3 linked regions of the Pelodiscus sinensis genome follow. The main gene of each other region encodes a partner of the protein of the gene in region 2 in a complex. Links are inferred from orthologs where the notes say so. Each region holds a gene or a part of one and is shown on either strand. Other genes may lie near its edges.

The links.
Region 1: the proteins of ARMC8 (region 2) and GID4 are in contact, whole or in part, in a cryo-EM structure (PDB 7NSC), measured with the Homo sapiens proteins. The link is inferred for Pelodiscus sinensis from reciprocal best matches to the Homo sapiens genes ARMC8 and GID4. Residues at the interface, in NP_001350870.1 of Homo sapiens: Glu309, Pro310, Asp311, Val312, Asn371, Glu373, Arg406, His409, Arg413, Ser414, Val415, Gln416, Arg419, Thr420, Gln423, Asp424, Val444, Ser448, Cys451, Asn452, Leu455, Phe457, Ala483, Val486, Asn487, Trp490, Met493, Asn494, Phe497, Gln498; in NP_076957.3 of Homo sapiens: Leu104, Ile105, Pro106, Pro107, Pro108, Pro109, Ile110, Gln114, Pro115, Gly116, Val117, Ala118, Thr119, Gly125, Gln146, His147, Tyr154, Cys156, Tyr158, Phe174, Glu176, Phe239, Val241, Pro242, His244, His292, Ser293, Ala294, Pro295, Ile296.
Region 3: the proteins of ARMC8 (region 2) and GID8 are in contact, whole or in part, in a cryo-EM structure (PDB 7NSC), measured with the Homo sapiens proteins. The link is inferred for Pelodiscus sinensis from reciprocal best matches to the Homo sapiens genes ARMC8 and GID8. Residues at the interface, in NP_001350870.1 of Homo sapiens: Asn45, Val47, Ile48, Gly49, Asn50, Val85, Ser89, Met92, Arg127, Arg130, Arg161, Tyr162, Tyr166, Leu200, Ser201, Tyr202; in NP_060366.1 of Homo sapiens: Ile83, Ala84, Asn87, His90, Pro91, Glu92, Leu94, Asp95, Thr96, Tyr101, Tyr183, Glu184, Asn185.

What each region holds. Positions count from the first base shown.
Region 1 is NC_134726.1:33,124,123-33,131,948, forward strand, and holds the start of GID4 (glucose-induced degradation protein 4 homolog), read right to left. Parts: upstream 3,010-7,826; 5' UTR 2,881-3,009; coding exon 2,692-2,880; intron 1-2,691. Other genes in the region: ATPAF2 (ATP synthase mitochondrial F1 complex assembly factor 2), read left to right, coding at 3,855-3,984, 6,667-6,711, 7,093-7,238.
Region 2 is NC_134720.1:4,087,043-4,094,816, forward strand, and holds the start of ARMC8 (armadillo repeat-containing protein 8), read right to left. Parts: upstream 3,094-7,774; 5' UTR 2,880-3,093; coding exon 2,835-2,879; intron 2,518-2,834; exon of another isoform or gene 2,462-2,517; intron 1-2,461. UniProt on the Homo sapiens protein: Component of the CTLH E3 ubiquitin-protein ligase complex that selectively accepts ubiquitin from UBE2H and mediates ubiquitination and subsequent proteasomal degradation of the transcription factor HBP1.
Region 3 is NC_134728.1:7,429,163-7,437,107, forward strand, and holds the start of GID8 (glucose-induced degradation protein 8 homolog), read right to left. Parts: upstream 3,024-7,945; 5' UTR 2,869-3,023; intron 2,218-2,868; 5' UTR 2,206-2,217; coding exon 2,088-2,205; intron 1-2,087. UniProt on the Homo sapiens protein: Core component of the CTLH E3 ubiquitin-protein ligase complex that selectively accepts ubiquitin from UBE2H and mediates ubiquitination and subsequent proteasomal degradation of the transcription factor HBP1.

The sequences.
Region 1 (7,826 bases), on a different chromosome or scaffold from region 2:
GGCCTTAGCTACCACAGACCACAGAGCAGGATTAACTACCACAACAGAAAAAGCCCTGTTGCAGTAAGAAGGGATTACACTATACCACAATGACACATCTGCAGCCTTGAAGCTGTGCTGCTGACATGCCAGTAGGCACGGCCATTGTCCCCTTGTCACGGTGAGAGCCAAACACTTCCAAGACAGAGACAAGACATGCAGGGATTGTTAATCTCAGGGCTGAAAGGCTGAAATCCCCATGCAAGCCCCCAGGGCCAAAACACCTATGATCAACGTTTCCTCTAATCTTTTCCAACCATGTGCGGAATACATTTATACGTGCACAGAGGGATGTGCAGATGTGCACCACCAGTAGAAACAAAAAGCCTAGCTGTGGGACTCTGCTAATCACCGGGGGCGTCATTTGAATTTCTGTGCACAGCTTGGCAGTGTCTATGATGGCTGGAGAACAGCTTACACCCAGATGACAAGCATGTGATGCAGTAGTTTCCTCCCCAGCCCTCTTGATGTAGCCTGGCTTGCCATGCAACTACCCACTCAGCCAGTCCCAGCTGCTTTTCTTCCTCAACTGCAGCTGTGGGAAGAAGACTCAAGCTAGTTTCATTCACTTACTCTGTTCTACTCCCACTGCTCCAGGAAGGGGCAATTTGGGCTGTAGGCCTGATGGGTCCCTAGAAAGGTGTCACCTACCTTGCCCAGATCAGAGATTGTTTTTCTCTGTTATACAGCTACTCTTGAGTTTCAGATCCAAATTGGGGGCAAAGGGTGTTCTGGGGAAGGGGATCCACCCACATCACCTGCCCCTCGCAAGTGCTGCTGGGCCAGGGTACATCTGGAGTCATGAAGGCCTTCCCTGGGTAGGAAGGGTCCCTAACCTCCCCTGGACAGCCACCTCACAGACCCAGCCTGTGCTATTTGGTCTGGGGTCCCCACCTGATCTCTGAAGATGAAGTTCCCTAGAAGTGGGGGACCCAAAACAAAGGTCTTAGGAGCAGTAGGTCCCAATTTGAGGGAAGGGGTGCCTTAGGAATGGAGAAATCACATGAGGGGATGTTATGGGGTCAACATGGATACATAAAGGAAGGCAGTCCTTGTGGACATCTCAGGGACCAAGGACCCAATCTGAGAAAGAAAGATGCTTTAAAATAAAATATTGCATGTACCGATGTTGGTTCTTGATCTCTGTGAAATGGGGGAATTAGGGAAAGAAATCTCTATGGAGTAGTCATTGGAGGAGAGTTCTCAGGGGGCCTGTGAGTGCCTGGGTTGCACAGAAGTCCATGCTCTGCTGGTCAGAGGTCCTCCAAAGAAGGCCGCAGTGGGGCAGGAAGTGAACAGAAGAATCCCCAAGAGGTGCTCTAGGAGAATAGGGGGATCTCAAGAGAAAGGACCCTAAAAGATGAGACATGGGGTACTGGGGGAATCGGCGGGCGGGGGGGGGGGGTAGGTGCTGCTCAGGAGGTCCCTGGGAGACAGTCTAGGGTAGAGTGAGAGGGAAGATGCTAGAGGTGCTCTAGGAGGAGGCTGCTGGGAGAGCAGCAGAGGATGCTCTCGAGGGAAGTCCCACTAGGAAGACCCCAGCAGCAGACAGGGACAAACTAGGAAGTCCCCAAATGACGGCACTCTAGGGGGTGTCCCTGGGGGAGGACCCCAGGAGAGGTGCAGGGGAGCACTGGGGGGGGAGGGTGCCTCACAGCAGAGAGAAGCGCTCAGGTGGATTCCTCTAAAGGGAGAGACACTTGGGGATGGATCACTCATAGGAGAGCCCCAGGAAGGGCTACAGGGTGGTGGTGGAAGGGTTCCCTCAAGACGAGGGACGCTCAGGGGAGATGCCCCAAGGAGGAGAGATGCTGGGGGAGGGGGGTAGGAATCCCTGGTGGGAGAACTGCAGAAGGCGGCATCTTGGGACTGGAGGGGATGCCCTGGGGAGGGAGGGGCCCTTTGGGGAGGTCTCTGGGGGGACCCCAGAAAGGGAAGCAGGAGGGGGTGGCTCGAGGGGTGTCGGGGGGGAGGGGCGCTTTGGGGAGGTCTCTGGGGGGGCCCCAGAAAGGGAAGCAGGAGGGGGGGGCTCGAGGAGTGTCGGGGGGGAGGGGCGCTTTGGGGAGGTCTCTGGGGGGGCCCCAGAAAGGGAAGCAGGAGGGGGTGGCTCGAGAGGGGTGTCGGGGGGAGGGGCGCTTTGGGGAGGTCTCTGGGGGGGGCCCAGAAAGGGAAGCAGGAGGGGGTGGCTCGAGGGGTGTCGGGGGGGAGGGGCCCTTTGGGGAGGTCTCTGGGGGGGCCCCAGAAAGGGAAGCAGGAGGGGGTGGCTCGAGGGGTGTCGGGGGGGAGGGGCGCTTTGGGGAGGTCTCTGGGGGGGCCCAGAAAGGGAAGCAGGAGGGGGTGGCTCGAGAGGGGTGTCGGGGGGAGGGGCGCTTTGGGGAGGTCTCTGGGGGGGCCCCAGAAAGGGAAGCAGGAGGGGGGGGCTCGAGAGGGGTGTCGGGGGGAGGGGCGCTTTGGGGAGGTCTCTGGGGGGGCCCCAGAAAGGGAAGCAGGAGGGGGGGCTCGAGAGGGGTGTCGGGGGGAGGGGCGCTTTGGGGAGGTCTCTGGGGGGGATCCCGAGAGGGGAGAGATGTTGGGGGGGCGCCGGGAGGGGCTGTGGGGGTCCCGCCCGAGGGGGCGCTGGGGGACACGGGGGATGCCGGGGGGGGGCCGCACCTGCATCACCACCTCCACCTCGTAGGCGTTGCCCTTGCTGCGCTGCTGGCCGCGGAACTTGGCCCCGCTGTAGAGCAGGGAGGTGGCGACCCCGGGCTGCGCCGTGTTGATGGGGGGCGGCGGCACCAGGCTGGCGGCCCCGCGGCCCCGCGCTCCCCCCGGGCAGCAGCACTCGCTCCGCACCGGCATCTCGGGGGGGTCCCCGGGCGCCAGCGTGTCACGGGCTGCAGGGAGCCGGCCCGGCCGCCTTGCTGACCCGGGCGCTCGCCGGCTGCCCCCGCCGCCTACCTCAGGGCCTCCCGGCGACGCCTCCGCGCGCTCTGATTGGCCCAGCGGGCGTCGCGTCGGGCGGGGCGCCGTTCCCATTGGGCGATGGGCGTCACGTGGGGGCCGCGCTGGCTCCTGGGAATCGTTGTTTCTGTGAGGGCCTTGTGACAGGGCCCTCGGAGGGACAAAAAGCGTTTGTGATGCTGATTGGACGCTGGGCGAGCAAGATGGCGGCGCCCAGAGGCAGAGTGGCTGGGTAACCGGGCCGCGGCGGTGAGGTGGAGGCAGGTGGCTCGCAAGTCGCGTCCGTGCGGCCCCGTAGGGAGTGGGGCCCGGGTCTGTACAGTGGGCTCCGCGGGGGTCTGTCCTTCCCCTCCCGGTCCTATTTGTACCGGCAGGGGGCTCTGGGGGGGGGCGTGATCCCGGCAGGGGGCTCTTGGGGGGGGGGGGCGTGATCCCGGCAGGGGGCTCTGGGGGGGGGCGTGATCCCGGCAGGGGGCTCTTGGGGGGGGAGGGGCCGTGATCCCGGCAGGGGGCTCTTGGGGGGGGGAGGGGCCGTGATCCCGGCAGGGGGCTCTTGGGGGGGGGAGGGGCCGTGATCCCGGCAGGGGGCTCTTGGGGGGGGGAGGGGCCGTGATCCCGGCAGGGGGCTCTTGGGGGGGGGGCGTGATCCCGGCAGGGAACTTTTGGGGGAGGGGCCGTGATCCCGGCAGGGGGCTCTTGGGGGGGGGGCGTGATCCTGGCAGGGGGCTCTTGGGGGGGGGGCCGTGATCCCGGCAGGGAGCTCTTGGGGGGGGGGGGCTAGATGCTGGTAGGCCATCCCAAGGTGTTAGGCGCACCTGTATGTAACAAGTCCAGGCCGTTCCCATCTTGCTGTAGCTCACGGTCTCCCCAGAATGTGGCGCAGTTGCCAGCGGCTGTTCTACGCCGGGCTGCCTCAGGCTCCATGGCTGTGCCCAACACTTCCTGTTGGGGGCCCCAGTCTTTGGCTGCCGTGCATGGTACGGGCATACACGCCACCAACAGGTGAGGACAACGCTGGACAGCAGTCCTGCTGCATGCTCGGCAAATTTCAGCATGGTTATTTCCAATTGCAGGGATGTTTTTCAGTGGTGGAATTGACTAGTTGTAAAAGCCAGCTGTGACCACAGTTTATGAGAGGGATGTGATGCCCCGTCCCCCATTTACAGAGGAGAGCTCTGGTTTGTGGAATGGGCCCCAACTGAACATCTGAAACATCAAGCCCAACAACAAACATTTATTATGTGCAGAGGCAAAAGAAAATGACATCGCTGGCCCAGTGAGCTCAAAATCTAATGCCTCACGCCTCCTGCTGCCAGCATGTGAGCCTGCTGCTCTGCCTGCATACAGCCTCACTGAGTACCTGCAGTTCTATTTTAGGTACTGTTATGAGCTCAATCACCATGGCAGCTGAGTACCTCAAGTTCTTTAATCTACTCCTTCTCACAGCCCCCTTGTAGGGCTAAGCAGTGCTGTGATTTCCCACTTTATACAGGAGATGCGGAAGGACAGAAAACTGGAGGTCACACACAAAGTCTGTGGCAGAGCAGCAAATGAAACCTAGGTCTCCTGAGTCCCTTCACCCCAGTCCATCCTTCCTTAGTCGTAAAGTGGTGCTTTCAACATCTTTCCTCTGTGATTTCAATTGTTTGTATGAGGATGGTGAAATTTGATCCTTTGTTTCTCACAAACTAAGACTCTGAACTTGCAATGAAATGCACATCCTGGAGCCCCATTAAATCAGGACTTGAGGGGGTGAGGGTGTCTTGTTGCAGGATCAAGGCTGTGGGCGCATGCTTGAATAGCCTTAAAATATGGCATTCTTTAAGTCCCTTGATCCTGCAACTGTCTTGTTTCTAGGCAGTCTGCCTTAACTGGGACTCTGGAAACCCAGGGGCCCTGTGTGCACAGTAGATGTAGAAATGGAGCTGCAGTCCAGTAACAGTTGTTAACTCTAGAGATTATGTACATACACCTATGTTGTACTGCCAAGGCAAAGATTTGGAGAGGTTTTGTGTTCTCTGTGTTTTGTGTGGGAAATGGGACCAGGTGTCTGTCTAAATGGCCGGGTCTCTGTGTTAACACAGACTCTGGGAACTGGATCCACAGGGCCAGCCTATAGCTTTCAGTTTGGAATTTATCAGCTGTTGCTCTGCATGCCCTCAGAGAGCCTGTCTTCACGTGTTAATTCATTCCTACATTCCAAAGCCAGAAAGAACCATTGTGATCAGCTAGTCGGGCCTCCTGCATAGTACAGGCCCTAGAAGTCCTTTGAATTCATTTATGTTGCCTGTGGTTTTTGTGCAGGGTGGGCTGTCTGTCAGTGCAGGGATCTAACTGTGTTACATGTGGATGCTGTCAGGAAGTTAGCAGGTGCTGTTCATGCCATTTAGAAGTCTAATGGCTGTGCCTTGCAACAGTGCAGATGCCAAATGTAAATTGCTTCTAAAACTATGACCTGTAGCCCTAAAGGTAGACTTGCTATTTATTGCACCAGACATTCTCCTTGACATAGTGGGTGCAGCATAACGGGAGGTAGACCCTCAATATATTAAATTGTATGCTGTGGTCTACCTGGCATCTACGTGAACTCACTCAGGACATGGGTTTACAGTGTGTTGCGTGCAATGCTCCTGGATCCAGCCAGAGGGCGTTCAGGGCAGTGTGACAGGCTAGCTTGGCACTGTAATTTAGGGGCTATTCTAGATTCAGGTATATCATCAGCTTCCGCCTGAAATCGCACCAGAGGGAGCTGTTTTAAAAGCTGGCTGGATATTGGTGACCTGCCTTAACTACATGGGACCGATAGTACCTGCTGATTAGAGTTGCTGCTTCTCCAGCGGGTGGAAAAGCCATGGCCAGCTGAGCAATGCTCGACAGGTCACATTACTTTTGTTTCCAAGGTAGTGGCTGAAGAGCTGGGCTGATGCAGGGCTAGTTTAATATTCAGCCTGGCAAAGAGGGGCTTGCTGGTAGGGATTGCACCAGCATGTATTCCAGGCCTGTCCTGTTCTCTGGGGCCTCACATCTGTTTAATATTATCATTGGTCATGTTTATTACAGTAGTGCCTACAGGCCACTTGAGAGTGGGCCTCTACTAGCTGAGGTGCTGGACATCGACAGAGAAGCAGATGGTTCCTGCCCCCAAGTGTTTACAGTCTAATTAGATGAGAGAGATGTGGGCAGGGGCGAGGGATGTGAATGGTTAACCGGTTCCCCGGGAGCAGCCCTAGCATCTAGCCCTATATGGCTGGAGCTGTGAGCCGGCAGAGCCAGCCTCAGTGTGGGGCTAGGAGTGGGAGCCCTGTGGGCTGGGGTGCTGGAGTGGTAGGATCCCGCATAGTTGGTTAACTGGTTAAACATTAGGGAACTACAGCTGGGTCCAGCATACTAGAGGGAAGCAACTGCTCTGCTTAAAGAGAGGCCCTTGGTTCACGGTGAGCCCTCTCTCCCAGGACAGACCTCACACCAAAGCCCACAGGCAGGTCCAAAGCCACTTGGGCACATGGACTTGTGGAGAGGGATTCTGAACCAGTAAGGCTCTGAAATGGGGAGAGAGGCCAACTGCGTCATGCTGAGCACTGCCTACAGGAGCTGGCATGTGAATCTGCAGCGGGCAGGGAAAAGGAGAGGGTCTTGGCTGCTGCCTTTGCTGCTGTCTGAGTGGATGTCTTTTTTTCCCCTCAGAAAGGAAGAAGTTTTACCAGAACGTTAGCATCTCCCAAGGCGAAGGTGAGTGCTTCCTCCAGGAGTCTGGTAGGCTGTCCAGCAAGGCCCCTTGTGTGACAGCCAGGCAGAGAGAAGAGCGCTTAGTCTCTCAGGCTCTGCTTGGAACAAGGGCCATACCTGCCAGCGGATGCTGGACACGCCTGGAAACCAGATCGCACGAGCCAGCTTTATCCCAAATGGCTGGCAAAACGGCCTCCAGGAACGGTGCCCCTTAGACCTGCAGTGGGGAGACTCCTGGGCCAGGTGAATCCCTGGCATTGGCTGGGGATACATTTGCTCCCTTCAGCTTTGTCTCTGAATCTTCCCCCTGCCAGAGGGGTTGCATCTGGATCCTGTGTGCGCTTTCCCCTGTAATCCTACCAAGTCTCTAATCTGATCCCACAGGCGGCTTTGAAATAAATCTGGACAACAGGAAGCTGAAAACGCCCCAGGCCAAACTCTTCACTGTCCCCAGCGAGGCCCTGGCTATTGCAGTTGCTACAGAATGGGATTCCCAGCAGGACACCATCAAGTTCTACACCATGCATCTGGTGAGCGCTGTGGGCTTTGGTGGAAGGGGAAGTGCCACAGTGAACTCACAGGTGGGAAGGAATCTAACAAGTGATTTTGCTAAGGCCACTGTTATGGGCAGCCTCCTCTTGGAACATAGCGTGCTGGGAGCTGTAGCCACTGCAGCCACGTCTCTGAGCTAAAGCAGTACACTAGATGGGTGTATTAAAGGGCTGAGGCTAGTAATTGTTTTTACACTTTCTTGGCTTTTGCTTGGCCCACAGAGCTGGGGCAAAGTGCGACTCACCCGTTCGCAGCTATTGGGTCTAACTCGAGGGTTAACCACTGCTGCCTAACATTGGCCAAACTCTCATGTGAATGGGACTGGAAATGCTTTTCATCCAGATGCCTTTACCCCAAGGCCACCAGCGAGCTCCTGTCCTGTCACTGTCCACAGGGCCTGATCCAAAGCTGAAAAGATTCCCGTCAGCTTGGAGTCAGTTTTGCATCACTATACCTTACTCGGTTACTACCATGATAAGGATTCTTCAAGTGTTGGCTGGGTGGGACCGTATAAAGTCAGAGCAGCTGCCTCTCCAAGACTCTAGCTGGTCTGATTACCTTGTGTC
Region 2 (7,774 bases):
CCAAGACTTATTTGCTCATATAAGTTTCAAATATAGATATTTCAATCTTGTAAGGAAGAGTAAACAGAAATTGTAATACAAAAACAAGTAGTAGCTGGCATATAACCTTTGCACTATTTTACTGAAACAAGCACATGCCTTCATGCTAAGGATGTTAAATATCGAGTTATTTACTTGTCAAGCAGACGATGGAATTTCCATCGACTAGTCGATAGGCACTTCCACATTCCTTCTCTGAAATGTACAAGAGATGTTGGTGGGGCTCTTGTACATTTCAAAGGAGGAATGAGGAACTCTGTATGCAGCCCGGGGCCAGCAGGAGGTACCGCTGACTCTGGGCTGTACGCAGGCACCAGCTTTGAAATGCTTCATGGAGCCCAGGTCAGCTGGGGACCCTCCAGCTGACCCTGGACTCTGCACAGCATTTCTCCGGAACCCGGGATCAGCTGGGGGCTCCCCAGCTGACCCTGGGCTCTGCACACTGCGCTGGAACCCAGGATCAGCTAGGCAGTCCCCAGCTGACCCTAGGCTCCACGCAAACATTGTGGTGGAGTTTCAAAGGGGTAGCACTGCATGGAGCCTGGGGTCAGCTCCATGTGGTGCTGCTTTGAAATGCTGAGGCAGCGTTTCAAAAGGCAGTTCCATGCTGCACTGCCGCTTTGAAGTACCCCGTCTTTCCCGCCTCTGATAGAGGCAGCAAGGGGAGGGGGAACGAGCTAGTTGACTAGTCCTTAACATCCTTACTTCACGCTGCTTAAAAAAACTAAATAATCAAAATTAAGACAGAAATAGATACTTCAGGTTTAAGGTACCCATTTCAGACTGGCAAGCACGATTTTAGTTCACATTTCATTTTAAAATATGGGAGATTTGCATTCAGTAATATACACTGTTACCCAGAAGTGCTGGGTAACGTATTCTTTTATTTTGCCATTTAACCAATAACACTGCCAATTATAAAAGATGTAAGAAATGCAACACCTTTTTTTCCTAGTCACAATCTCCCACTTTTCCCAGCACATTGGTGGGTGGCAGTAGAGTGCAACTACCATGGGTATTTTGTCTTATCTCCTCCCTTCAGAGCAACAGGAAGAAGAAATGCTTTCATCCTAGGACTCTTCCCGCCCCCTCCTTCATTCTAAAACTCCAGTGCTGTTGAAAGAGGACAAAATGTTGTCTATTCTAACACAACATGTCAACATAGTCGCAGTGGATGATCCTCTTCACATCCCACTGACATCAAAAGCTAAGTAGAGGATACTTCCAGACCACTCAATTAGCCTCATTCGCACCAGCACTACAATTGACAGGTATTTTTTTCTTCCCCTCTTTCTTTTTCGGTTATAAATTGTGAGGTTTCCCCCCCTTTTCTCTCCACTCATCTGAGGAAGTGGGTTTTGCCCACAAAAGCTCATGATACCACATATATAGAAAAACTTCAGAGGGGTGGCCAAGTTATTAGTCTGTAACAGGAAAAACAACAACTGGATACCAGGTGACAGGAGTCATCTGAAAAAGTGAGGTGTGCTCATGAAAACCCATGATACCATCTACATTTTTTGTTAGTCTTTAAGGTGCTACTAGTCTATTGTTGTTGAAGTTTTTACATATATAAAGACTAACTCTCTCTCTATATATATAAATAAATAAATAAATAAAGTGCTACAGGACTACTTGTCTTTTCACTAGAGTGCAAGATAGCAGCAGCAGCATGGTCATCAGAAGAGCACTCAGAAGAGATACAAAGAACAGTCTTCAGCAACCAATACAAAATTCCCTCTTGCCAGTGATGAGAGGGCAAGGGAGCTTCAAAAGCCCTGGACAGACAGCAGTCTTCATAAACAAGGAGCCCTGCATCCCTAGAGATTGGTACAAGGTTTACAATAAAACTGTGTAGACTCAACCCAATACAGGTAGAGGAAGGTAAAATGAGTACTTCCTGAAAATAAGTATCCCTACCATGTCTGCAAATAAGTATCGCTGCCATGTCTCCATCAGAAAAAAAAACAACCTTAAGAACTGAATATATTATATAAAAAATAACCAGAGAATTCAGAATAATTCGAAAAGACCTGAGTTTTTCTAAACGAGGATATCCAACACAAAGTGTTAGTATACTGAAATGCTCTTCTGGCTCTTACATCTTTCCCCACATCTAGCTATGGGACATCTATTAGCGACATAATAAAATAGAGATGCACACGCAGAAGATCATTAAAACTGTAAGTTTTCTGTCTTTATCCAGGAAGTTCTCATTTCTTTATTTCTCCCCCCAGACACATTCTCCCCCCTTTCATGCCATTTTCCAATGCATCTCCTTGCATCTCTTCCCCCTTTCCTCTCTCACCTCTTCTGCATTTCTCGTATCGTCTGTGCTTCCCCACCCACACGATCATCCTTCCCATTTCCCCCCGGAGTGCATCCCTGGCGGACCCGCCCAGCTCCCCAAGGGGGTGCCTACTCTCGCCCGGAGCCCGCCGCCGCGGCTGGGAGGGCCGAGAAGGCGAAGAGGTGGCGGCTCTCTCCGCCCAGCGTGGGCCTGTGGTTTCTCCGAGCCCCCCTCAGGACGCCCGGGGGGTGGGGGTCGCGCCGCTTGTCTCCGCGCTGACAGTCGCAGGCCACGGCGGCGGGCGCGGGCCCAGCAGGGCAGCGCCCTCGCCTGACGCCGCCGGCGGGGACAGAGCCTCGCTACGGGGAGCCAGGGCCCCCGGCCGGCCGCCTCGCCACAGGGGCTCCGTCGGGTTCGCCCCGCCGCCTGACACCGCCCGGGCGCCGCGGCGCGGGACCGGCCGCCGAGCGGGCCCCGCGGGGGCCGGGCCGGGGCGGGCACTCACCGAGAGGACGCTCATGCGGAGCGGCGTCTCCAACACACACGCCATCTTGGGGGCGCGCGCGCGCGCGCGCGGCACCGGCGGCACCTTCAACCCCGCGCGAGGCAGCCAGCGCTACCGCCGCCACCGAGCCTGGCCCATCTCTGTGGGTGGGGGGAGGGGGCGGCGCCAGCGCCCGGCCGGGCCGCCGGAGCTGCTCTAACGAATCGGCGAGTACCAACTCCAAACTCGCTCCAACCGTTGCGCATGCGCCCATGGAGGCCTTTGGCGCCCTCAGGAGCACGGGAGGGGGGGGGCGGAATTGTTCCTTCTGACTCGGAGTGGGAATTGCAGTGCGCATGTGCCAACGCTGGAGCGCGGCGGGCAGCTGTGGCTGGAAGGCGGGGAATGAGCCATTGGGCGGGGAATGAGCAGCGGGGGCGGGAGCACTGGGCTGGTTATGGGGGCGCAGGGAGGGGAGTGGAGCTAGGAGGGGAGGGAGCTGAATGAGCACGGGGGGGGGGGGAGGCAGCACAGAAAGATGACGTGGGAATGGAGGGGAAAGGGGAGCTGCACAGTTAGCAAAATAGAGAGTTTGATCTATTAACCCTAGAAAATATCGATGATGGAAAACGTTCATTCTGGCTTTCTACAGGGGCTCTTGGTAAAAATGGATTCAAACACCAGGGGGAAAGGACAGTTTTACTACAGGACAATGGCTCTGGCAAATTAATGGCTTTTGCCTTATGTACTTCCCTTTATTACTTTTGAGGGTCTCATGTAAAGAGCATTCAACGGAATGGTTCTTTCAAGTGCTCTGTAATCCACACAAGATATCTTAGTGTTGAGCAGGAACTGATGCACTTACAAATGGTCTGTGATAAGTTTGACATATCATCAACCACCATGGGCTCAGTGACCATTGGTGTCCGATGCCTCTCTATTTCCTTCCATCTTTCCCTGTCCAGTGTACAGTGGCTTAGTTTCTGTAGACTAGCTCCACACCAATCTACTACAGCTTCTCTCCGAGTTACAAACAAGTTATGGACCAAACACTTGGCCATAACTCGAGCTGTTTGTAACTCGGACCCCATTGAGTTACATGCGACCGCGCTCTGCGTAAGCGCAGGTCGCGTTTGTAACTCAGGGACCGCCTTAAGACCGCTCCGTGGGAGCTTTGGTCGTAAGTACGAACGGTTGTAACTCGACCTTTCGCAACTCAGAGAGCAGCTGTATATAATCTACCTATTCTCTATAGGGTCTGCCTCTCCTATTCAGACCATCCATTATGCCAAATACCAGGGTCTTCACTTTTCTCTTATTGTTCATTCTGCAGATATGCCCGAATAGCTGTAATTTCCATTGTATAACCTGCAGTAGGTACTCTTTCAGCTGTATCTTCCTATATAAATTCATCATTGACCTTCTGCAGCCATCCTATTCTCAGGATCTTTCTATAACAACTCCTCTCAAATGCCAATATCCTGATTTTATTCATATTGTTGATTTACAATCAGCATATCGACACTCATCTGACCAACCCTCCTCCTTTATCCAGCCTTGGGACTGGCATGAAACCCCTACAGCCTTCCTAGCAGAGTTTAAGTTTATGTGCCACTCTGAAATTGAAACCAAAGAAATACACGCAGATACAAAAAGTGGAAGCCTGTCTTGAGGAAAACAGATGTTTCCACTACAGGTAAGAATATTACTCTGACTCCCCAGACGCTTGCAGCTGTGCAGTTTGGAAGAGCTCTGCTCCTGTTACAGGAAGTTCATTGATGGGTTTGCAAATAGAGCAAAGCCATTGCATAGCCGGGGGGAAAAGTAAAACCAATCCCATGATTTTGCTTTCAGAGTTAATGATACTTGTGACTCGTCTACTCTCCCGCTTACCTGCAATTCAAAACACCAGACACATTAGTGCAGGGATGTCGAATACACTAGCCAGATATGGCTAGTTGGCTGGTAGAGCCAAGGCTAGTTCACTAGAGCAGTAGCTACTACAGTGGCTACTGCTTTAGAACTGGTTGGATGCCACAATGCTAGGCTATGTCTAGATTGCAGGCTTCTTGCCCAAGAAGCTTTTTGCAGAAGAGGTCTTCTGCAAAAAAAAAACTTCTTGCACAAGAGCATGTCCACACTGCAAAAGTGCATCGGAAAAGCAATGCGCTTTTGCACAAGAGGGCGTCCAGGCTGCATGGATGCTCTCACAAGAAAGCTGTGATTGCCATTAACAGAATGGCCACCAGGGCACCTGTGCTTCTTTTGATAGGCTGTTTTTGCACCAAAAACCCCATTTCCCATCCACACCCACCTTTTTACGCAAGAGCTATTACACAAAAAGGCTTATTCCTCATACAAAGAGAAATAACTTGCACAAAAACCCCTCTTCTGATTTACTGTAAATTTTCTTGCACAAAAATGCACTAGAAGCGTGGACGTTCTGTGAGTTTTTGTGCAAAAACTCTACAGGCTAGATGTAGCCCTACTACTTAGGTACTGGGGCAGTATTAGTATATGACCAAGGCCTTAAAAAGGAAGCTGTTTGTTGGTTTACGCACTCCCTACACTGGAGATAAGCTAAGGACCCCAGCAAACACTACAGTCCATACAACAATAAGGGAACACATTATACTCTGTCAGCTCCCCCTTTTGTGTTGGCCATTTTCCATAGACAATTCCAGGACTTCATTTTCTTTTCAGATGCTTAATGTGTTCAAGGTCAGTAGGACTCAACAGTACAGTGGATGTCCCTAGTGCTCGAGGCTTGTACCTCTTCATGGGATCTGGAGATTTTGCTTAGCCTGACTGTTTCAGGGTGAAGGTGCATTAACTACAGGCACAAGTGTGCACCAGTAAGGTCGCACTGGAGTCAAACACAAAATTGCTATTGAACTTGATCCTGTAAGAGAAGGTTGGACAATTTTTGATGGTGGGCCACTTCAAGAATTTGGTAAGTGGACAAAGGCCACACTCTTCCATGATATTAATGGAGATGTGAGGTATGGGATGGAGGTTGGGTGCAGAAGGAAGCTTGAGACAGTTGGGGTGCAGGCAGGATTTTGGGTAGAGGAGGGGGTTGTAAGCTGGGGCAGATGTTTGGGGTGCTGGGCCTGGGAGAGGACACATGTGCAGAGGGTTGTGACTTGGGGCAAAGAGTTGGTGGGAGGGAAGAGCTGGGGTCCCAGATGCAGGCTCTGGCCAGGAGGCACTTACCTAGACGGTTCCCGCTCAGCAGGTCCCTTGGGAAGTCCCTGCCTTTCATGCCCCCGCATGCTTTTTGGAGCTGCTGGCTACAGAGAAATACATGGTCCCTGAGTACCACAAGTCCCAGCAGGTGTTTTGCACACTGTCTGCACTTCAAACACAGCCCAAACAGCTTCCCATTAGTTTCCAGCCAATGGGAACTGCGAGATTGTGCTGGGGGGAAAGGCAGTGCACAACGCCTGTCCCCAACTGCTCAAAGCAGCTCATGGTCCTTGCAGTCAGACAATTTACGCAACATGCAGAGGCAGGGTAGGCAGGAAGATTGCACAAGCCTCCCATTGGGCAATGGGCTGGATCTGGCAGCTTGTTGAGCTGAATCTACCCCATGAGTTGTATTTTGCCTGCCTCTGCTATATGATCACTATAGTACCTGAAACTGACTCCCTCCTTGTCACTGTACTGCTTTGCAGAGACTACAACACCATCAATGAGTCAGGGATGAATGTCCATAAGCAGGGCTTGATAAACAGCAGTGAAATCTGCTCGCCAGCCCCGCACTCCGCATGCGCAAGACCCGCATTGTGCATGCGCACGCTGCCGGTGAACAGGGCGACTGGTTGAAATCTACTCACCACGGGCAAGTAGATTTAGTGATTTGTCAAGCCCTGTCCATAAGAAATACGGTACTGAGAGAAAGGTTGAATGGTATGCAGTAAATAAGGCATACGGCTATTCACTGAATAAGGGTGAAATTAGTATAACAGAAAGCATCATCCATTCTATGCCCTGAAAGGGGCAAGGACCCAGTTTAGCTTTCAGATCCAACTTTTGAATCCTTGACATTCAACCTTAACATTCATTCAGTGTAGTTTGTGTGTGTAGGTTTTTTCTTTTAAAAAGCAAACCAAATCCATTATGCAGAAGCAGGCATCTTCCAGTCCATTTCAGGTTTTGACGCAAGTATATATAGAAATTAAGGGTCTGTTACAAGATGCCCATGAATCTGTGTTTCCTACTGCTAGTCTCCTGCCTCAGGAGAGATGTTCCCCCTTCTCTCAGTTCTAATATCTAAAGCTATGTCTACACAGTAGCTTCATTTCGGAATACCTGACGTTATTCCAAAATAACAGTACACGTCTACACTATAAGCAGTTATTTCAATAATGTCAAAATGATTGAGCTGGAGGAATTCTTACTCCGGCTTCTGTAACCCTCATTTTATGAGGAGTAAGGGAAGTTGGAAGAAGAGTGCTCTCTCTCAGACTTCCTGCTGTGCGGAAATAAGCTATTTTGACTTAAGCTACACAATTGACATAGCTCAAGTTGCATAGCTTATTTCGGCTTTAGCCCTGCTGTATAGACATGCTCTAACAGCATAGCCATCCCTGTGGTGAGAGCATCCTGCTCAGCACCTGCTACTCTGGGATGGAGCAAGCTCAGTGCAGACTGGAAGCTGTCAAAGAAGTTTCAGTAAGTGCAGGCAACACATTTTCATAGGGCCAGCAAAAGGCATAATGCTATGCATAAGGCAACTCCCTCAAATTTTAGCACCAAATGATGGAGACAGTAGAGCTTCAATAAAAAAACTGTTTAAATATCAAAAATAAATAAATAAAAGCACAAATATGGGCCTAGAAGGGATCTGGAGACATCACCTAGCCCATTCCACTCAGGCAGGACTAGGGATGTAAAATCCTGATTAAAAAGTTAACTGGTAAAACAAAATGCTGAACATTACAGTTAACTAGGATCCT
Region 3 (7,945 bases), on a different chromosome or scaffold from region 2:
TATTTAATAAGGTATATACAAAAGTACAGATTTATCAAACATGAATACATCCAATTGTCTTATATAGCTCTGACACACAAATGTTGCTTAAACAAGATGTCAGGAGGCTTGGAAGCATTTCAGATATGTTGCTAGAAGGAACTACTGGACATAATATAGTTTGATTTTCTCAGCAATAGGGATGTATTATTGAGAAGTGACCTGTAGAGGATTGAAGTCCTCATCAGTCACCACCAGATGCACTTTTTGGTCACACAGCCAAAGTCCCTGAACATTGAGCCCTGAAAATCAGATTTGCGGTCGGGAGGAGATACTGTATGGCTACAGACTGGCTGGGCTGCACCACATTAGTAATAACCCTCTGGAGCTTTTATAGACACTTGGAGTAAAGCTATATGATGTGGATATTGACATTCAGTGCTATGGAACTTTGTGGTCTAAATGTTGTTTTCTGAATTTCTATATAATAAACCAAATTAAGAGAATATACAAAGATGTGCAGAAAATCCTATTAGGAATCATTTCAATGAAGCTGGCATTTTTGTAAATATATCAAAATAAAAACTTCACATTTAATTCTCCTTAAATCCATTCAGTTCCTATCCCTTCTATATTTAACTATATATAAAATAAAATTTTACTGGGAAGGATTCAAGTTTATCATTTACCCCATTATTGGACCTGTCAGGCATATTTAGGCATGGTTATTCTTTTGCAGGAAAAACAATAGCAAAAACTGGTTCCTGATAACCACTGGGGGCTGAAACAGCTCCCTGCCTCCCATAAGGGGATGCTTCAGCTTCAGGGAGCCTACTGAAGACAGGAGGGGAGCCCTCCGCCACCTGCCTTCTCTTTAATCAGCTAACTAGTTAAATATCATGTTTAAGCAGTTAATCAACTGAACAGGATTTTACATCCCTCATAGACATTTTATAATTAGCATAAACATGACTCATCTGCATACCACATTAAGGCTCTTTTTATCTTACAAAAAAAAAGGCTCTCAACTATACAAGCACTAGGGATGTGAAAAGATAACCAGTTAACTGGTAAACTTACTGATTCAGGTTAACCATGGGGGCTGGAGCAGCTCCCTACCTGCTGCATTAGGTTTACCTGATGTTTAACTGATTAACCAGAATTTTACATTCTTATTAGGCACTCTTTTCCTACATATAAACAACTTATGACAAACTTGGCATGGTCACTCAAGTGTGTCTTCCACTGCTCAGGTTCCAGCTCCATATACACAAACAGGGGGGACACTTGATGCGTATGAACAGCTCCACTATGGTGCATCTTGAAATGGAAATTAATATATCACATTGCCAAATGACAATTTCTGAGGGGTTTCTGGTTTCTCTTAAGTTGCAGTTTCTGGATGTCTCACATGTTTAGTATTCTGATATTCTTGAGCTGTTTTGGGAACATTATTTCCTCAGAATTATTCTGCTCTTTCGACTAAATTAGCTGAAGCTGGTTTCTGATCATTCCTCCTGTTCTGTGATGAAAAGAGTGTGGATACAGTTTGTTCAATGCTGTCCAGATTACATTAGTAAAAGCCATCACACGCTCAGTTTAAGGAAAATAGTATAATCAAAGGTGCGATATTAAACTCTGAGCAGTCTTTGTTAACAGTATTTCAAACCAGAAATGCCATAAAGGAAACAGCTTTTTAACAGAAAAACTAAGATTAAAACAGGAAATATATATTGGGTAAAACCAGTAGAGTCTAAATAGTTAAAGTAAAGAACATTTGGTTCTTTAATGTTTTGCTTAGCAAAAATAATGTGCTGCTAATAGGGTGCGTGTGATATGCTAATAAAAAAGTAATTAGGCAGTACTGAAATTGTTTTTCCTTTACTCATTTTAAAACTATTTTTATTAAGCTATATTTTCTGTGAATTCTAGAAAAAATATTTTCTAGAAACCACAGAAAATATAGGCAATAGTGATATCTATTAATATCAACCATTTAATAGCTTATTCTAGTAAGGATGAATTGTATTGATTAAAATAAACAGCAGATGATCCAAAAATAAACCAACCTACGAAATGTAATACTAGCATCCATTACTCACTATTACCTGTAACAAGATAATTCATGATCAGGCGATTCATATCGGCTCTCTGGATATGCAAGTTATTGAGTTTTTCCATCCATTCATCTTTTGTGATTTCATCAGGTTTTTCTGCATAACTCATCCTGGACTTTCACTAAAAGGGATGAAAAGTATCTTTCTGGGCACACATACCAGCTGGTGAAAGAAAAGTTAAGTCTAATTTGCCTAGAAGAACGATGTGACCAGCTCGGTTATTTATACCTTCTGGGCGGGTTCAAGACATCGTGTTGGCTAAACAAAAGGTGAGCAAACGGAGAACTGAACTCTTCTGCTTTTGAGATCCGCCACTGTATCTGAAACCCACCGTACACCCCCTTCTCGCTCTCTCCCCTCCCCCCTAAACAACAGACGCCACTGTACGGACGTTCCCTCCCCACACACGGCCGCCCACCGAGTCGCCCCTCCGAGGGGTCCCACAGCCCGTCTCTCACACAGGCTGCCCGGCCCCGCACCTCACAAGGGGCCGAGGGTCGGCCGGGTGGCCCGGCTCGCTGCCGGTCTTCACAGCATCGCCTCCAAGGCGCTAAAGGCTTCCTCGGCCCTCCCAAGCGCGCCCGTCCCTCAGCCCCGCTGCCCCCGTGGGGAGGGGTCCGGCCTGCTGGGCTCTTCGGAGGCTGCGGCCGCTTGTGCCGCCAAGCCCCGAGCCCCCTCCTCAGGCTCCATCCCGCCCGGGATCGGACCCCCTGCCTGGGCCCAGCGCCGTCTCGCCCCACGGGAGGAAAGGGGCCGCCAGGCGCCATCTTACCGAACGAGCCACCGCCGCCGGCTCCGGTGCACGGGCCCAGAACCCCACTCCGCCTCCTCCCTCCGCCGGGACGCTGGGCTCAACTATCGTCTCGCGAGAACTTGCCTCCCAGCCAATCCGCTGCCGGAGCCGGCGGGCCGCGCGCACCATAGAGATGGGAGGAAGAGGAAACCCAGAGGCGACCTAGAGGGGAAAGCACCATAGAGATTACGGAAGGCAAGCCCAGAGAGGTAGCCCGGGAGGTACCATAGAGATTGTGGGAGGGAGGCCTTGTAGGCTGTGCCAACAAGTGGAGAGCGTTGGCGTGGACCTGTGGTGGGCGCTGACCACCCTCCCCTGGGCCACCCCTGGGCCTGGCTGACAGGCTCTGTAGGATCAGGGCCTCTCAGCCAGGCCAGTGATTAGGCCCATGCAAGTCAGTGGGTGAATGTGAATCTCAAGCACACAGTGGGGCATGCAGGACTGGGGGGCCAACTCTGAACACAGACTAAGCCTGGCTGCACAGGGATTATTATTGGGAGGTAGGGATTGTGCAGGGAGAGTTTCCCGTAGGCCTTGTCTGCCCTAGGCACAGACCAGAGGATTGTTTTGATCATGCCAGTGTATTTCAAACATGACAAGTCCTGCAATGTGGACACAGTTACACTGGTATCCTTTCTGCCATGTAAAGGTCCAAACAAGGGAGTGTACCAGTGTAACTATTTCAGTTGAGAAACATAATTTTTAAAAAAAATCAGCCCCTAGCAGAAATAGGTAAATCCGTATTAAAACAGAAGCCTGTATTTTCAGAACAATATACAGCAGGGTCCTCCAGGAAAACTGGTCATTTTACTTTCTCCTATCTCCATGAAAAGCAATAATTTAAAGTTGCTCTCTGCACTCATTTTTTGCAATTGTCCCAAAAAGCATAACCCCTAGTCTTGGATGAACTGGTCATCAAGTCAAGCCCCCTGCGGGAAGAACTTTACATTTGAGTTATTTCTCAAAACAGGTCTCTACTGAATCTTTGTAATCAAAACAGATTTTTGAACAAGTAGGTATCTCTCTATATATAAACATTTTTCCTGTGCGACAACAGAATGATGTTTTCACATCACTCTGCGTCCACAGGAGCCAAGTCCCACCCACTCCCAGCCTGGCCTTCGCCAGGGCCCATGTGGAGAGCTAGGGCTGCCTGTGGCCCCAGCCCTTCCCTCCTCTCCCCTTTCCAGCAGCTGGAGGAGAGCTGTAGCTGCCACAGCCTCCGCAGAGCCCTTCCCAGCAGTGGAGGGAGGGGGGAGAGACCAGGGCTGGCATGGTCTTGGTCCAGCCCCTCCCTGCGGCTGTGGAGAGAGCCGTGCCCAGTGCAGCCTCAGCTTGCCCTCCTGGCAGCCAGGCAGAGCTAAGAACCAGGACCCGCCAACAGGGGGATGGGGGCAATGGCTGGTGCGACCTCAGATTCCCCAGTGGCCAAGGGACTGGGGGCGGGGAATAGCTGGGGCTGCCCCAGGTCCTCCTGGTGGCTGGTGGGAAGAGATGAGCGGGGCCCAGGGCGGCTTTGGACCCTTCCCGGTAGCTGAGGATAGGGGGGAGAACCCCGGGGCCGCTATGGGCCCTCCCCAGTGGCGAGGTGGTGATGGTGGTTGGCAAGTGTAGCAAGCAGAGGGCATAGCCCCCTACTATTATTAATTATCATAAGCACTTCAAAGTTACTGTTGAAGAGCACTACAAAATATGAGTGTGAGATACAAATAAAAAAAACCATAAACCTTGCATCTGTGACTCCAGATAATAGTGCAGGCCTCTACATTTGTCAATCATCTTATTCTTATCTTCTATAATCCACTCGAAAGCATGATTTAAAGTCAGTTTAATTTAGTGGAAAGATACCTATTTATTTTAATGGGTTTTGCATCAACCTTCTGGAATTCATCAGGAATAATATAAGGTGTAAGCAAGGAAACTCAGGAAGTTTCTGGCTCCCAACCAGAAGCATAGGACTTATTTTCTATGTTTCTTTAATTAATATGATTGAAGAACATATCCTGACCAATCACTCCCCAAACCTTCAAATTATCTGACCTTACTAACTCCTCCCTAAAAGGAGGGGTTTATCTGGAGACTTCTATATAGGTGGGGAGGTTGGGTAGGTCCAGTCCCTATGACTACTTCCTGATTCTATTTTACAGAGGTCCACACCTCAAACACAGGAAAAGAAGAGAAGGCTGTAGCAGAGTATAACTGAGACTACAACTGCAACAACAGGTAAAAAGAAAACAAAAATTTTGAAATCAGATTATAACAGCAGGAAAAATAAATATGTCTTGTTGAATAAAAAAACAAGGGAAAGTTTGACCAGGTATGTGCAGCTGTGTTGGTTCCTAGTTTCTTCACAGTTTCAGGCAAACAAAACACACATTATTTATAATTTTCCCTTCATTGACTTATGTATAATATAATTTTCCCTTAATTGACTTTGCACAATATAAATGGAAATTGAGAGAAAAATAGGTGCTGTACTACAACTATTGCTTCCAGGGGCACACTGCTCCTCCTCTATTTTGGGTGTGAAAATATAGAATGACAAACAATGATATGTGTACAAACAGTTTCCTGTAGAGCTTAAGCTTTTTTGGGGGGAGGGAGGAGGGTTTAGTAATTTTTGTTTAAAAAAAATGTTTTGAATGTTACCTGAGCAAATGCCTTTTTAATGAGTTTGCAAACAAAGGAAAACTGTGAAATCTTAGGAGCATTCTATTTGTTTTAATGATGTGGAAGAAAACGTTGTCCTCACTCTGAGTTTGTAAGCAACAAGTAGCCAGAGGCAGTTTTATTAGGAGCTGCAGCAAGGGAAAAACTGGTTCGGACGGGGGGGAGCACCCCCGAGGCAGATCTTCAAATACAAGCAATTATGAAGCAGTTTATATACTGTCTATTAAATATAATAACAATAACAATTAGTCTCCTTCCCATTACAAACACCAATGGCTAACAGTTATTTAGTTCCACCCAGATGCTCCTTATCTCAAGGTCCCTGCCAGAGTCAGCATTCTACCCTTATCTTGGTATGGAGGCGAGAGGCAAAGGCAGCGTCTAATCACAGATCTTGCATTGTCAGACCACAGACTTAGCCTGACTCTTGCTTTCTTGTTAACAAGACCAAGATGGCTGCACACAAATTCCCTTATTCCCTTTTCCTGCCTCCACAATGATGAAAACACATGTCCATATTAACTCTCATTTTCTTGGTAGAAATATCTTCTTAATGTATATAAGTTTTAAAGTATGTTTTAAAGATTCAAATAATTTCTAAATCTGTATGGTCTTGATTTGTTTTGTCTGCATTGTCAGCCAGTCTTCCTTACAAACATCATAGTTTATGAAGAAAATCCTGGATATTTTGGTGAATCAGCGTCTAACTGATTATAGTGACTCAAGTTTTATCCTAGTTTCAATGTATTATAAATACATTATTGGCTGGCCTGCCAGCTTACTCATTCTCCTCTCTCTACCTTATACCAGGTGGAGTAAGTGTTGGATCATCCACTGTGTAATGCCTGCTGGTCTGTCCAATTAACTGTGCGCTCAGGTGGGCTCTCCGATTCCTAGTACTGTATGATCTGGCATGCTTTAAGATTTAGAAGCACCAGGTCATATTTGAAGCATATGTACAATGTGAGGTGGGAAACAGGTCCTTAACTCCTTCATTAAGGTAGGTGCTCTCAATAGATGAAGAAAGGAGACTGGAATGTATTAAACTGTGAGGGAAGGGTGTCTGGAAAGCAAGTGGGAAAATTTCCCCACATAATTTCTTTCCTCCCCAATGCAAAGCCCATGCTACTCTCTAGGACAAATATCCCAATAACAAACACTTCACATTTCCCACACCCTATCTGCCAAAACATTTCTGTATTGTGTAAGAGAAGTCCCAAACTCTTTAAAATGTCATTCTGTGACTTGAGGGTTGGATGAGATAGAAGAAGTTGGATGCTTAGAAGAAGCAGTCTTTAGTGGTAATTTCTAGGGCCTACCAAATTCACAGCCATGAAAAATGCGTCACGGACCGTGAAAATAGATCTCCTTCCAAGAAATCAGGTTTTTTGTGTGCTGATATATAGATTTCATGGGAGAGGCCAGTGTTTCTGAAACTGGAGGTCCTGAACCAAAAGGGAATTGCAGGGGGTTCTCAATATTGCTATCCTTACTTCTGCACTGCCTTCAGAACTGGGTGGCAAGAGAGTGATAGCTTCTGACTAAGAGCCCAGCTCTCAAGGCAGCAGAACAGAACTAAAGGTGGCATGTTATGCACCATCCACCCCCATAACTCTTTTTTGGGTCATGACCCATACCATTACAACACTGTGAAATTTCAAATTTGAATAGCTGAAATAATGGTATTTTTTATTTTTAAAATCTTATGACTATGAAATAGGCCAAAATGGACCATGAATTTGGTAGGGCCCTTATTATTTCAGAGTGGCAATATGCTCCCCGCTTGGAAGAGACTGGACCAAATAATAGCAGCAACATCTCCCATGTTCCAGTGTCCTGCAGACACTAGAAAACAGCAAGGCTAATCTTTATTATTTTTATTTATATTTGAGGTTTTTCCCTCAAAATAAGAGAACAAAAAAAAAAGGAAAAAGTAAACTACTGAGGAAATCAAAAGAGAGGGGGGCAGAGAGAGGAAAGGAAGAATTACATTGGCTTTTGTTTAGTAGGAATTAATCAAAGATGTATAAAAAGTCAGACCAAATCTTTAAAAAAATATTTGAGGTCCCTCTATGTTTGAAACATTACCAGGTATTTAGCAGATTGGTCAGCCAACTCCCTGTGCCACACTTCTTTCTCTGGAGGCAATCTGCTCTTCCATCACAGCAGCATGACTTGTGTTGACTAAAAGTACTGCTCTAAAGAACCAAGCTTTCCATGAGTGTAAGAGTTTCAAAGATGATGGGATGTATTCCAAAATAGTTTTCTGTAAAATCTTCTATTAACTACAACTTTGTAAGGACTTTAAAAAGTAGGAAAAAAGGACTTCTGCTCTAGTTACAAAGTGTTAAACCCATTCAGATTGATTGGTATGGGAAAATTTTAC